Linked DNA regions of Drosophila melanogaster. The protein of the gene in region 3 interacts with the protein of the main gene of each other region in a pairwise test. Each region holds a gene or a part of one and is shown on either strand. Other genes may lie near its edges.

Region 1 (4,886 bases), on a different chromosome or scaffold from region 3:
CAGCGAGTGCAGCGCCTCAGGGATATGGACGAGCTGCGCCAGAACATCAAACGAAACATAAAACTACTCGAACTTCAATTGCGAACGGACTCGGAAAAGCGGTTACTCAATGCGGATAACCATAAGCTTACTCCCTACGCCTACGTGCGCCTGCAAGAAATGGACAAAGAGTTCGCCGACCAGGTGCAGGATCTAATCGACCGCATCGACGAGATGCGCGGCAAGATTGAATGCCTCTGGCAGCGGCTCAGGATGACCGACGAATACGCCATGCGTCGTGTGCGCGAAGCCACGTCCTATAACCAGTGCACCTACGACATATTGCGCGAGGAGCTGGAGCGCTGCCAGGCGATGCGGCAGCAGAATCTGATTGCCTTCATCGAGCAGCTGCGCATTGAGATCAACGAGTGGTGGGATCTTTCACTGAAAAGCACCGAGGAGCGCAGGCGCTTCACCACCTACTACTGTGATACGCAGACCGAAGATGTTCTCGAGCAGTTCGAGAAGGAGCTGGACAACCTTAAGGAGTTCTACAACAGCAACAGGAAGATATTTGAGCTATACGCGAATCGAGGCGAGCTATGGACGCGCATGGAGGCCCTGGAGGCCAAGGCCAACGATCCAAATCGGTTCAACAATCGCGGTGGACAGCTGCTCAAGGAGGAGAAGGAGCGCAAGACTATCATGTCCCGTCTGCCCAAGATCGATCAACAAATCACCGAACTGGTGCAGGTCTACATGAGTGAAACGCACACGCCGTTCCTGGTGCACGGCGTGGATATACTGGAGCGCATGTCGGCGGACTGGGAGCGGCATCGACAGTCCAAAAAGCAGCCCTCCGCCCAGAAGAAGGATGGCAGCAATACGAGCGGCCAAATGAAGCCGCCAATGGTGCCTCTTACGCCCAATACGCAGAAGAGCAACCGGGGCATCCATGGATCCACATCCTCGTTGAAGAAGACGCCGACCAAGGCAAATGCCAGCACCACGGCAATGAGCACAGGGAATCTGCACAAGAGACGGCATCCACAGCATCACAACACCAATAGTCCACAGCCGGCAGCAGCGGCCAAGCGAAATCTAATCGCATCGCTGGAGTGCAACAATGCAAGTCGCAAGGTCTGTGTGAATGGGCAGAAGCTGCTCAAGTCGCCGCAGAGGAAGGTGCGCGTGCTGGAATACTCGGTGCGTCGGGGCAAGGGATCCGGCAGGCCGAGCACAGGGAGCAGGAATCCCCAGAAAATTCGTCCCATACCAAAAATCCATGTGCGTCCGCCGTCCGGCGAGGAGAACGAGAGTCCCGACGAGGAGGCGGTCGTGGCCATATAATGGAGCTAGACTCTAATCACATCCAATGGCAATCATTTCGGCAACTGATCTGTGTTCTATATCTATTACCTGTACTGAAGTATTTGGCTCGCAATTGCAGACTCATCGTATTTATATGTATACACATATGTATAGTGTTAGGGCTTTTCCTAGCGCAAAGACTATCTAAATTTACAACTTTAAAATTCTTTTAACTATTTTGCACTACCTGTGACGGCAAGAAGTAAATGAACAATTGTCCACATTTTAAATTTTTAGTCAGATAAAAACGCTTGTTTACATTATAAATTACTTGATTTCAATTTTACCAAAATATACATGTGTGGGAAGGGTTTTCTAAAGTCTGTGGGATGTTTACTAAGCGCATATAAGAGAATATAATACGTTTTTAAGGAGCAAAATAATTAAAATAGATATTTTAATTTGCTAATAAACCAAATAACGAATTTTAAATATTCAAAAAAGTGGCGTATGCTCCAGCCCTGGTTTTACCAGAAGTTACCGCCGCGTGGCAATGCTGTCCCACAACGCGGTGGCAACACTCTTGGCCGCCATTTCAATTTGAATTTACCGAAATTTCTGTCTAGCGTCATCGATTCATTCAGTTCGAAATTTCGTGCAGTGATGCACTCTAAATAAACCACTAAATAAATCCGCACATTCCCGAGCAATCCTGCCCAGCGTTGTGGGTCTGCGACACAACTGTCAAGTTAACTCAGATATGCTGGTTAAATAGTCCCCAAGTGAACACAACGAAAAAACAAAGCCAGTGAGCATTTACGCAAGAAAAGAAATTTTGAACAAAAAAAAAAAAACACAAATTTCACAACGAAAACGGAGAAAATGAACTCGCCGAGCGCCATTGCGGTGAAGGCCCAGATCCTGGAGATGACGGGCGAGCACGTGGATCAGTTGCACGCGATGTGGTCGCAGTTGTTCGAGGTCAAGACCTGCGGTGAGTTCCTCCTCCGGTTGAAGGACCATGCGAACAGCTTCTTCACGGATTTGCTCAATGAGTCGCGCGAAAAGCAGCAGGCGATCCTCAACGATATAGCCGCCTTGCGGGCAGAGGCCACCGACTTGACGCGCCTACTCCACGAGCCGCTGGACATTGGCGAGCGGCCGGAGTCCATGCCGCTGGTCGTCTGGGAGCTGAAGCTGGACAAAAGCATCGAGCACTTACGCGATCAGCTGGCCAGGCGGCGAGCGGAGATCTGTGAGCTTCTGCTGCAGCAGGAGCAGCTGTGCGAGGAACTGGGAGAGCTGCCTCTGCCACTGTTGGCGGATCCACTGCCGCTGCCCGAGGAGATGGACGCCTTTCGGAATCGCCTGGGCCAGCTACGCGATCAGCGAGTGCTGCGCCTCAAAGAGATGGACCAGCTGCGCCAGGCCATTAAGCACGACATGAAGCTGCTTGAGTGCCTGCCCCAGACGGACACCGAGGAGCGTCTGCTCAACCAGGTGGATCACTGCCTAACGCCGGAGACCTTCGAGCTCCTGCGCAACATGCAAAAGAACTTCGCCGACCAGGTGAAGGAGCTGAGGGAGCGCATCGACGATATGCGCGAAAAGATCCATGTGCTGTGGGACAGACTCCAGGAGACAGACGAGTATGCCATGCGTCGCGTGCGCGAGGCTACGACCTACACTCAACGCACCTACGATGTCCTGCGGGAGGAACTGCAGCGCTGCCAGGCCCTGCGACGCCAGAATCTGAAAACCTTCATCGAGCAGCTACGCATCGAGATCAAGGAGATGTGGGATCTCACACTTAAGAGCCAGCAGGAGCGCAAGCGCTTCTCGAACTACTACAACGACTGGTACAACGAAGATCTGCTGGAGCTCCACGAACTTGAGCTGGACGACCTCAAGACCTTCTACAACAAGAACAAGGAGATCTTCGATCTGTACGAAAGCCGTGCCGAACTCTGGTCGCGCATGGAGGCGCTGGAGGCCAAGGCGAGCGAGCCGAATCGCTTCAACAATCGTGGCGGCCAGTTGCTCAAGGAGGAGAAGGAGCGCAAGGCCATCACCTCCAAGCTGCCCAAGATTGAGCAGCAGATCACGGAACTGGTGCAGGCATACGAGGCGCAGGAGAACACACCCTTTCTGGTGCACGGCGAGAACATCCTGGAGCGGATGGCCGCCGATTGGGAGCGTCATCGCCAGGCCAAACAGCAGAGCTCGGCGCGCAAGAAGGCACCGCCATCGGCCAGCAAGATAATGCCACCGCCGGCAACGGGCTCGACAGCTCCACGCACGCCGCGCACGCTGCGCAACATGTCGACCCTTTCCAGCTCCACCATGTCGCTGCGCAAGACGCCGTCGCAGCAGCACCTCCGTCCACTAAACATCACCAAGAGTACGGGCAATCTGCACAAGCGCCTGAATCCGTCCGGCCTGCAGACGGGCCCCAAAACGCCCAACGCCAAGCGCAGCCTTATGAACACACTCAACTCGATGAAGGCGTCGCCAGCCAAGCACCTGCTCGCGCCCAGCCAGCAGCATAACCAGCTGAAGAGCACCAAGTCGCCGCTGAAACGTGTTCGCGTACTGGACAACACACTGCGACGCAGCGGCGGTATGGGCAGGCGCAGCATTGGAACGCGTTCCAGCAAGAAGGCGCGCACCAAGTCCAACGATCAGAACGCCCCACCCGACAGCAGTGACTACACAACGGACGAGAATCCCGAGCAGGGTGTCAGCTATGACGAATTTCAGCCGACCAGTCGCTCCTCGATGCTGCCGCGCCAGCGTCATCAATTGGCCGTGCCGCGAACTCGTCGTGCGGAAATGAATGCCAATCTGCCGGTGCCGCGGGAAAGCCTGATGATCGTGCAGCCGCGCAGACAGTTCTAGTTCCACTGGAGATTGACTAGCTTAACGCGTACCTACTACACTATTTCATAACAGTTGGAGTTTCTTGATGTATTTTAATTTTTTATTTTCTGTTTTACGTTTTCAGAATAAAATTTATGTGAGTTTTTTCGCTTGACCACAAGACTCGAGTGTATTTCACATTTCTTTCAGCATAATTCGTGTGTAAATTTCAGGAATTGGTTGTACATTTGTTAATAATTTTTTGCTAGTTTTCCACCAAAAAGAAATAGCTGTACATTTCGATGTTTTACTATGCTTTCACGATTTATTTGATCATCAACTAAATTTGTTAATTGTTAGAGGGATGGGGAGCTATTTGCACTTTAATTTTAATATACTAATATACAACTAAATTTGTCAATTGTTAGAGGGAGGGGGTGCTATTTGGACTTCAATTTTAATATACTAATATACAATTCAATTTGTCAATTGTTTGAGGGAGGGGGAGCTATGTGCAATTTAATTTTAATATACTAATATACAATCGCACTGATGCAAGCTTTATAAAAAGATTCCAACCGCCTACACTGTAGTAGAGCAGTTCTTATTTGACTATTAAATACATATTAACACATTAAAATGGGCGGCACGTGTGGTGCCTGCGCCAGTGATGAACCCTTCAATTGGCCAGAGCCCGGTGCGGTGCAACAGCTCCTCCCAATTCGGATACCGTTTAT
Region 2 (4,613 bases), on a different chromosome or scaffold from region 3:
CGTGCCTAGATAAAGGGATACTAGAGCGGAGACAACGCCAGGCTTGTACTTGGCTTCGCCCAATGACAGCAGTGTTTCAATTGCATCCTTGCGGTTGCCCTAAAGCAACGAAATACAAAAAATAAGATTCCATTTTCGACTTACGACTTATGGCAACTTACCTGAAGCAGCTGAAGTTGTATGATGGCAAATTTGCTGACGAATTCGTGCGACTTGTGGGCTGCAGCGAACTTTTGTAGCTGCTCGATGGCCTCCTTGTGCTTGCGATCTTTGGCCAGCTGGGTGCAGCGAATGAGCAGCGCCTCGAATTCCACCTGCGGGTAGGTCTGAGCTAGCTTTTGGCTAAGCTGTTGCACTTGGTCGCCGGCATTAGTGTAAAGTGCTAGCAGACAGTTGTTGAGGGCTATGACCTGCTTCTGGCGCGAGGTGAGCCTAGACTCACAGGCGTCGGCTAGGGCAGCGCGTATCTTCTTCTTGGAATCGAAGACGTTCTGGTCCTTATTGACCACCACCAAGTTGTTGCTTGCCACGGCCACCAGGGCTGCGTCCTTTGGCTTATGACGCAGGCAGTCCGCGTAGATGCTGGACGCCTCCTTGGTCTTGCCCTGCAGTTGGAGGACATAGGCCAGTTGGACGCGAATGACGTCTACCTCTTCAATGATCTCCTCCTCGGAGGCACACTCATCCTCAAGACAGAGCTTCTCGCTGGTGCGCAACTTGCGCTCGGCTTCAGCATACTTCTGCCGATTAGCCTGGATGCACGCGCTGTTGAAGTACTGCTCGTAGGTGTCTTCCGGCACCTCGGGCACCTCCTTGGTCTGATCCACAGCCAAGTTGGCGGCCACGGCGCTGAGATTGGTCCGACGCTCTTCCTCGTACTCGTCACTGGTGTTCTTAATGATGTCGCGATAGGAGTCTAGGCACTCATCGTAGCGCTCCAAGCGGTACAGGACCTGGGTTCGGAGCTCCTTAAGGTTCGGAGGCAGGGGCTGCAGACCCGCATCGTCTATGGTCTTAAGCGCTTGCTGCTGCTTGTTAAGTTGGTACTCGCAGTAGGCCTTCTCAAAGAAAAGCGAGGACAGTCGATTTTTCTCAATAAACTTGTAGGCCTCCTCGAACTTGGAAAGCTGCACCAGGCAGACTACCTTGCAGTGCAGGGCGGTGGGATCGTCGGGCGCTACGCCTAGGACTATGAGAGATCATAGGGAGTCATCTTCTGGATTATAACCTCGGTAATCTGAAAAACTTACTGCGATTCACTGCCTTGACAGCCTTGTCAAACTCCTGGTTATTGCCGAACTTATTCACATCAGCGTAAGCCGCCTTTATGAGCGCCTCCTTGGGATTAGCGTCCTTTGACATCCTGTTTGCTCAGCACGTTAGTGGGTGGTAATATATATTTTATTCACTGACTTAAACTTTCGACTTTCCGTTTAACATGCAAGTTTTTACAGCTGTAGACACATCAGCAATGCGGACCTGCCAGATCGCTTCTGTGTGCAACCAGAGATGCCAGATGGCGGAAACAGTTAAGACATTTAATTTTTTAAACTATTTACATTTAATTAATAACTTATGCATAAATATCTATGAATGGGACATTTTATTATTAGTTATTAAAAACTGAAACGCTAAATGATGTGTACTAAAATCTTAATCCATGAAGTGCATTTCACTGTTTGATTATCAATTTCGTTTCACTATTTGCCATTATGGCACATGTAATTCATTAAATAATTGTTTTTTAATTCTTTGTTAAGTTATAATTTTCTTGTTCATCTATATCCACACACTTCTTTGAGCCGCTGGTATTTTGGGCTCCGCGTATCTGGCCACACTTGCATATTCGCTGGCGACGCCTTTGATCCAAACTCTGCGCCCGGATTATTGGATTATTTGACTTGACTATTGGAAAATGTCCGTTGAGGTGGATTTCGTCGACAAGAAGGAGGTGCACCTCCGCACCCTGAAGCAGTCCGGTCACGTGGGATTCGACAGCTTGCCTGACCAACTGGTCAACAAGAGTGTCCAGAATGGATTCGTCTTCAACGTCATGTGTATAGGTGTGTATATGCGGGTGAACTTTGCGTGTGTGCGTGTGTATGCGGCACAGTGAATCAACCGAAGTTTTGCTTGCATACAAAACAGTGGTGACCAAAGCAATAGCACTGATTTTTTATATTCCATAAAGGAGTCACTTGGAGAAGGTTTCAAACTTTTGTTGCTTCTTAACTCAAAGATGGCTTTGTTTGCACACCAATTAGAAATTGGACATACAGTGGTAGCTCGATGCAGAGAGAATGAAATAAAAACCGAGGTGTGTGCTTTTTATTTGTTAAACTTTAATACGAGTAAAATCAGTAAAATCATATTAGAAATACAATTATTTATTGAAAGCAAAGACTATTGCACAGCACATCTTGAAATAAAGATGCTATTGTTTTGAACACCGCTGTGCTATGTACTCAAGTGTCTCATGTTGGAGTGCATTGCTCAGATAAAGTGAATCACTTAGGTACATAAAAGCGGGTAAACAATTGAAATAACCAGACGCCCAGATACGATTAGTATGCAAAGTGGCCGGCAATCGATTGCCTCCGCCACTTTCTACAATTTCACCCTGACACCAATGCCGCAGTGCTTCTATGGCCAATTGAGCTCACTTAGGCTAAGGTTCCCCAAATCTGGCACAAATCTGACCCGCATTTCGAAATCTTTACGCTCCGCAGGCGAAACCGGACTGGGCAAGTCGACGCTGATGGACACGCTGTTCAACACCAGCTTCGAGTCCACGCCGAGTCCCCACACTTTGCCGAGCGTCAAGTTGAAGGCACACACCTACGAGCTGCAGGAGAGCAATGTGCGACTCAAGCTCACCATCTGCGACACGGTTGGCTACGGCGATCAGATCAACAAGGACGACTCGTTCAAGGCGGTGGTGGACTACATCGACGCACAGTTCGAGAACTATCTGCAGGAGGAGCTGAAGATCAAGCGATCGCTGGTGACATGCCACGACAGCCGCATCCACATCTGCCTCTACTTTATTTGCCCCACTGGGCACGGCCTCAAATCGCTGGACCTGGTGTGCATGAAGAAGCTGGACAGCAAGGTGAACATAATTCCGGTGATTGCCAAGGCGGATACCATTTCCAAGGTTGAGCTACAGCGCTTCAAGGCGAAGATCATTCAGGAGCTAAACGCCAATGGAGTGCACATCTACCAGTTCCCCACCGACGATGAGACGGTGGCCGAGACCAACACCAGCATGAACTCGCACATTCCCTTCGCCGTGGTGGGCAGCACGGAGTTTATTAAGGTGGGCAACAAGCTCATCCGCGCTCGCCAGTACCCCTGGGGCACGGTGCAGGTGGAGAACGAGACGCACTGCGACTTTGTGAAGCTGCGCGAGATGCTCATTCGCACCAACATGGAGGATATGCGCGAAAAGACACACACGCGCCACTACGAGCTGTATCGCCAGAAGAGGCTGGAGCAAATGGGCTTCAGCGATGTGGACAGCGACAACAAGCCCATCTCGTTCCAGCAGACGTTCGAGGCAAAGCGCTCCAACCATTTGGCCGAGCTGCAGTCCAAGGAGGAGGAGGTTCGTCAGATGTTCGTGCAGCGCGTTAAGGAGAAGGAGGCCGAGCTGAAGGAGAGCGAGAAGGACCTGCACGCCAAGTTCGAGAAGCTAAAGCGGGATCACGCCGAGGAGAAGCGCAAGCTGGAAGAGTCGCGCAAGGCGCTCGAGGAGGACTACCTTGACTTCCAGCGGCGCAAGCAGCAGTTGGCCACCGCCCACCACACGCTCACCCTCGGCAAGAGCAAGAAGAAGTAGAATCCGGCGCCGCCGCCTCACAATGTATTGAGAATTCTGTGCGGTTCGCTTATCCCAAAGTAATTATTGCTTTCTCATCTCGTTGTCTTTCATTTGTACTATTAAGTTTACTTCAAATATTAACATATACACAACTACACGCATATGTACGCAGGCATATAATGATTATGTATTTACAACTAACGAATAAATCGAACTTAGTATTTTAACAAAGTAGAAAAGAGCTGTTTGCCGGAAACTTGTATTCAAAAAATTGTAAACTTTTGTCGATATAATGTGTTTTTAAGTGTGTATTGAAGGCACCGCTGGATAAAGACAACAAAATAACATTTTATCTAAGATTATCCTGGTTTCCTTAGAAGTCACTGATTGATATGTATCAATACATATTAAGTTTATATTTTCCTTGAATTTCTTTTAAGCTCCGCTTTTTAAATACAAAAACATGGTAATTTGAATTTCAAGATTGGCGGGCTTTTCGTAGGACGTAAGTGTAGTACGGCCTTATTTTACTTGTCTTGTGCTTGCCACCTGGTCACACTGTTACCCACTCATTCACTGCAGGCTGCAAAAATTATAGAACAAATTAAAAACGCAATAATAGAATCACCGCAGCGAATTCGACGCAATCACGGAGTCCAGTGCTCCGTAACCCAAACGAAAGCAATTAACCGTGTTCAACGTAGAGAATAGTCCATGAAAGTGGGTGTATCCGTTGGCAAAAAGCAAGATACCCCTTTGTGTTTGTTTTTTGTTCGTTATAATTTTGTTT
Region 3 (4,668 bases):
TGGGACTTGGGCTCGTGCATGTACTCCCAGCGGGCGTGCAGGGGCAGGGACATCAGGATGCTCTCGTACCGGGCTCCAGGCGTGTATAGACCGAACTTGGTGCCACGATCGTAGATCAAATTGAACTCCACGTAGCGCCCGCGGCGCAGCAATTGCCACTGTCGTTCGTTGTTGCCATACTCCCGATTTTTGTGCTTTCGTACCAGCGGCACGTAGGAGGGAATCACGGCCCTGGCGCAGCTTGACACAAAGTTGAAGGCCGCCTCCTGGTTGGGCGAATCGATGTCGTCGAAAAAGATTCCGCCAATGCCGCGGCTCTCGTTGCGATGCTTGATGCGGAAGTAGTCGTCGCACCACTTCTTAAAGCGCGGGTAGTAGGTGGGATCGTGCTCATCGCAGGCGGACTTCAGCGTCTGGTGGAAGTGGGAGGCGTCCTTCTCGCAGAGGTAATAGGGCGTCAGATCCGTGCCGCCACCAAACCACCACTGCTTCTCCCCCTTGGCAGTTTCCACTTCAAAATAACGATAGTTGAAGTGAATGGTGGGGACATGGGGATTCCTCGGATGGATCACGGCACTCACACCGCTGGCAAAGAACGGCAACGAGGCGCCCTCCTTCAGATTCTTGCCGCGAGCCCGCATCTGTTGTACTGCAGCCGGGGGCAACGAACCGGTGACCACGGATATATTGACGCCTGCCTTCTCGAACACATCGCCATCCTGCAGGACGCAAGTGATGCCGCCTCCGCCCTCAGGCCGCTCCCACCGGTCCACCTTGAACTTCTGGCCACAGTTCTCCTCCGCCTCCAGGGCGCGGCAAAACTCCGCCTGGATCTCCATGATCAGGATCTCCATGCGATGACGCATGTTCTCCTTGTCCCCCAGCAGTGCCTTGGAGTCGGTGATGGGCTCGGCCATGAACCGCGAGGTGTTCATCTGCACCCCGTTGACCTTTGGGTCGACAGCCTCCGCGGAATGTGCGTACGTGACCGCCGAAAAGCTGGCCAGGCCCAATCCCGTGCCGAGGAGAAAGCCTCTGGCGTGCGGCCCCCTGGTCCGGCGCACCAGTTGAAAGGTGCCCAGCGATACCAGGGATATCGTGTGACGGAGTGCGTTCATTATGTGCTCTCGCCTACTTCAAATTTTTAACTTAACTTAAGTACTTTCGCCGAACGCAGTTTGTTTGTTATCTTTCACTGACCCGGCATTTCTAGTTGCATAGTCGCCGGTGTGACCGTGATATCACCAAAATATACCGAAAATAGGGGGCTCGCGATTTTGTTCTATTTACAGAGATACAAGAAGTTGTAACGTTCTTATAAAAATATTATATATTGTTAAGAACACTAGCTAGCTCAATATGTCTGTATATATACACAAAATAATAATAATAAATAATATATGTTAAAAGTTACGGAGCAGTACAATTGCTTTTAATGGTAGACATATTTGTCTTAATTTTATATTATTATTTGTTATAAGTGATATAACTCCGATGATGTATATGTGTAGTGTCCATTGGAATACCCCATTCAAAAATATAAGCGCAATACGGGCACTCTGTCGTGGCATTTGAAATAAACGACTGCAAAGGCGCGTCGATCGTTGGCAAATGAGCGTGCTGTGAAGAAATCCATGAAATATTTGCGTGTGCGCCTTGAAGATTAAGGAAGATCTGCGTGAATACTATTGCCAGAAGGTAGGTGATCGACTGGAGCGAACTCTAAATCCTCTGAACTATAGTCAACGCGCAATTATACGTGTTTATCCCGTCGACTGGAGTTTTGCACCCAGGACACACGCACACTCGCACACTCACGATGTCTGGCCTCAAGAAATTCCAAAACACTGAGGAATGGCGTCAGAAACTCCGTCAGTTTCTAATGACCGAGCGGTAAATACACATTGAAACCCATCCTTGGATAGTGTTGCACTAGTGTTCGATGAATTTGTAGTCATTTACTTTCAAACAAGCCACCTGCATGTCAAAATTGTTAGAGAAACAGTACGCATAAATAGTTTGGACAGTTTAGACACACATACAATTTAGTTGAGAAAACTAATAACAGTTTTCCTTTTTCAGCTTGCCGAAAAAGCCCGTGAAAATGGACGAAACGAAGGATATGCGCTATAGTTTGGAGATCGACGAGGATTTGAGGAGACCCTTGGAGGCGCGGGCCAAGAAAGTTCTGGCCGTTAATTCTGCCAGTCAAAGGACTGTTAATCTCGGCGAGGATACTATGTACGAGGCAGGTGACTTGGAGCACTTGGACGATGGCGATGATAGCTTCAGTGCCTTTGAGCGCATGTGCGACAAAACCGGTTCCGATCCGGATAGCACTCTTTTCCAGTACCTGCACAGCGAGGACCGGAGTCAGGTGATGGCCAGGGCTAGGGATCATAGCACCGACGATCAGAAAGAGATCGATGCACTGCGTCGCATGCTAGAGGCAGTGGGTACAGAAGACGATCTATTGGAGAACGAAAGTCCCGTCAAGGGGGCGGAGTGCACTCACCTGGAGGACATTGAGGCGCCGTCGCGCTTTTGGGACAACACCCTGGCCGGAATGGACGAGACCTCATCCGACTCTGGGCTGACTCCTAAAGCATTGACCAAGGTTTCGCCTGTCAAAATGGTGGGGCTGCTTCGCCCCTCAACCATCATCGAAGACAGCGAACTGGAGTCGTCTGATGTGTCTTCACACACAAGCTTCCAAAGCGCTCGCACCCTAAAGACAAATGCATCTAGTTCTTACGAAACAGCCACGGATACTTCCCTCAGTGGAACGCTCCTAAACGTCGACGAATTGTTTTACGCCGCAATTGCCAAGGCCAAGCCACCAGGAATGTCCAAGGGAGAGGAGCTGGAGCTCTTAAGCGATCTTCATGGCAGTCTTAGAGAGCTGGCCTCACTTCCGAAGGATGAGGTCGAGGAGGAAGAGGACGATATAGAGGATACAATAATCGAGCTATCCTCTTCTGACGATGAAGAAGTGCAGCTAGTTCCAGAAGTAAAACAAGAAGACACGTCCCGTGTGTCCTCAGTCCACGGAAAAGATCACACTGAGCAGAAACCAGCGGAGAAGAGCGTTGAAAATAAGGAAAATTCGTTGCATTTCAATGATACCATGGAAGAAATGGAGTACATGATGCAAAAGGGTATGGAGTACATGGCAGGTGGGGCTCCTTCAGTCGCCGCAGTCAAGGCAGATTGCCCTGTGCTGCCCAAGACCAAACAAAGCACGTTCGTTGTTTCACCGAAGCCGGAACCAAAATCACCGGCTGTAGCCTTTTTGCAGCCATCAATTCCGCTGCGGTCATCTAATCAGCCACAAACAGTTGTAGGTTCATCTAGCACGGGTAGAAAGCCGCTCAATGTCGGCCTCACCATGGAGTGGACCAAAAAGAAATTTTTCAGTGCAGCCTCTGGTATTCCTCAGCGTCGCCAAAATCAGATAAAGCAGCCATACGCCAACATAGTCAGTCCCATACGCACCTACACCCAGAAGTCTGGTACTGCTCCGCTAATGAGTACATTCCGTCCAACGAGTTCTGATATGCTATCTACACTGGCCATCAGTGAGTTGGAGCAGGAGTCTCGCTTGTGTCATCCTAAAGCACTTTTCGCAACAAAGGACGAAACACCCAAGTCCAGTGAAGCGGAATCTTTAATTATCAATGGAATCGATTCAGCCGCTGATCTGCTTCCCAAAAAGGCTTACATATCTTCCGAAATCAAGCATGTAAGTTTAAATTTATATATAAGCCATGATGAGTGAACGTAAACTAATACCTTCCATTGAACAGGTGGTTGATGAACGAACTCCTTTGCCCATGCCGAAGGTACCTCAAATTCAAAAATACCTCAACTCCGCCGTGGAGCCTACTGTTATGCGCCACGATGGCAAAATGAAAATGCCCGGCGAGGCAGTCCGCAATCCGTCGTCTTCGCATATCCCACGACGCGCCAATCACAGCCTGGCTGATCTGTCGCTCGCCTCAGGCGACGTGTCCTTATACACAATAAGAGATGCCCAAAAGTTTTAAGGCCCATAAAAGTACTTCACGCTCCTTGACTAAATATTGCAACGATAATAAATGTATTGTGTAACTAGTGCTAGTAAATGCCTTCGTTTTCGTTTGATAGTATCAATGCTTGCATCATCACTTAACTCGCGCCTGCGGTCCCTTCCACGCTCGATTAACCTTGGACTCTGAGGTTCTGCCCAGTTCGGTGCAGATGTACCGCCCCACTTGGATCAGTTTGTCTAGGTTGACGCCAGTATCGAGGCCCATGCCGTGCAGTAAGTAGACCACATCCTCGGTGGCTGCGTTGCCTGACGCCCCCTTGGCGTAAGGACATCCGCCCAAGCCAGAAACGGAAGAGTCCACCACCCGAATGCCATAGTCCAGTGAGACCAGTATGTTGCTCAGAGCCTGACCATAAGTGTCGTGGCAGTGCACGGCCAGATCTTTAGCCGGGACGACCTTGGTCACCTCATCCAGCATTCGGCGCATTGTGCCTGGAGTGCCCACACCAATGGTGTCGCCCAATGAGATCTCATAGCAGCCCATTTGGTACAGGGCTTCCACCACTTTGACGACAGCACTCGGCGCAACAGCACCCTCGTACGGGCAGCCAACCACGGTGGAAACGTAGCCCCGGACG

Evidence for each region.
Region 1: the proteins of sip2 (region 3) and feo interact in a two-hybrid assay, tested with the Drosophila melanogaster proteins (one study listed by BioGRID).
Region 2: the proteins of sip2 (region 3) and Septin2 interact in a two-hybrid assay, tested with the Drosophila melanogaster proteins (one study listed by BioGRID).

Annotation. Positions count from the first base shown.
Region 1 is NC_004354.4:10,851,891-10,856,776, reverse strand, and holds feo (fascetto), read left to right. Parts: upstream 1-1,907; 5' UTR 1,908-2,172; coding exon 2,173-4,188; 3' UTR 4,189-4,331; downstream 4,332-4,886. Other genes in the region: sofe (sister of feo), read left to right, coding at 1-1,329.
Region 2 is NT_033777.3:20,585,574-20,590,186, reverse strand, and holds Septin2 (septin 2), read left to right. Parts: upstream 1-1,830; 5' UTR 1,831-1,915; coding exon 1,916-2,063; exon of another isoform or gene 2,064-2,184; intron 2,185-2,191; exon of another isoform or gene 2,192-2,317; intron 2,318-2,729; coding exon 2,730-3,841; 3' UTR 3,842-4,058; downstream 4,059-4,613. Other genes in the region: Srp72 (signal recognition particle 72), read right to left, coding at 1-99, 162-1,189, 1,251-1,362. UniProt on the Drosophila melanogaster protein: Involved in cytokinesis.
Region 3 is NT_033779.5:6,960,969-6,965,636, reverse strand, and holds sip2 (septin interacting protein 2), read left to right. Parts: upstream 1-1,562; 5' UTR 1,563-1,698; intron 1,699-1,781; 5' UTR 1,782-1,819; coding exon 1,820-1,893; intron 1,894-1,960; exon of another isoform or gene 1,961-1,981; coding exon of another isoform or gene 1,982-2,004; exon of another isoform or gene 2,005-2,082; coding exon 2,083-3,742; intron 3,743-3,806; coding exon 3,807-4,046; 3' UTR 4,047-4,121; downstream 4,122-4,668. Other genes in the region: Coprox (coproporphyrinogen oxidase), read right to left, coding at 1-1,118; Hmgcl (3-Hydroxymethyl-3-methylglutaryl-CoA lyase), read right to left, coding at 4,164-4,668.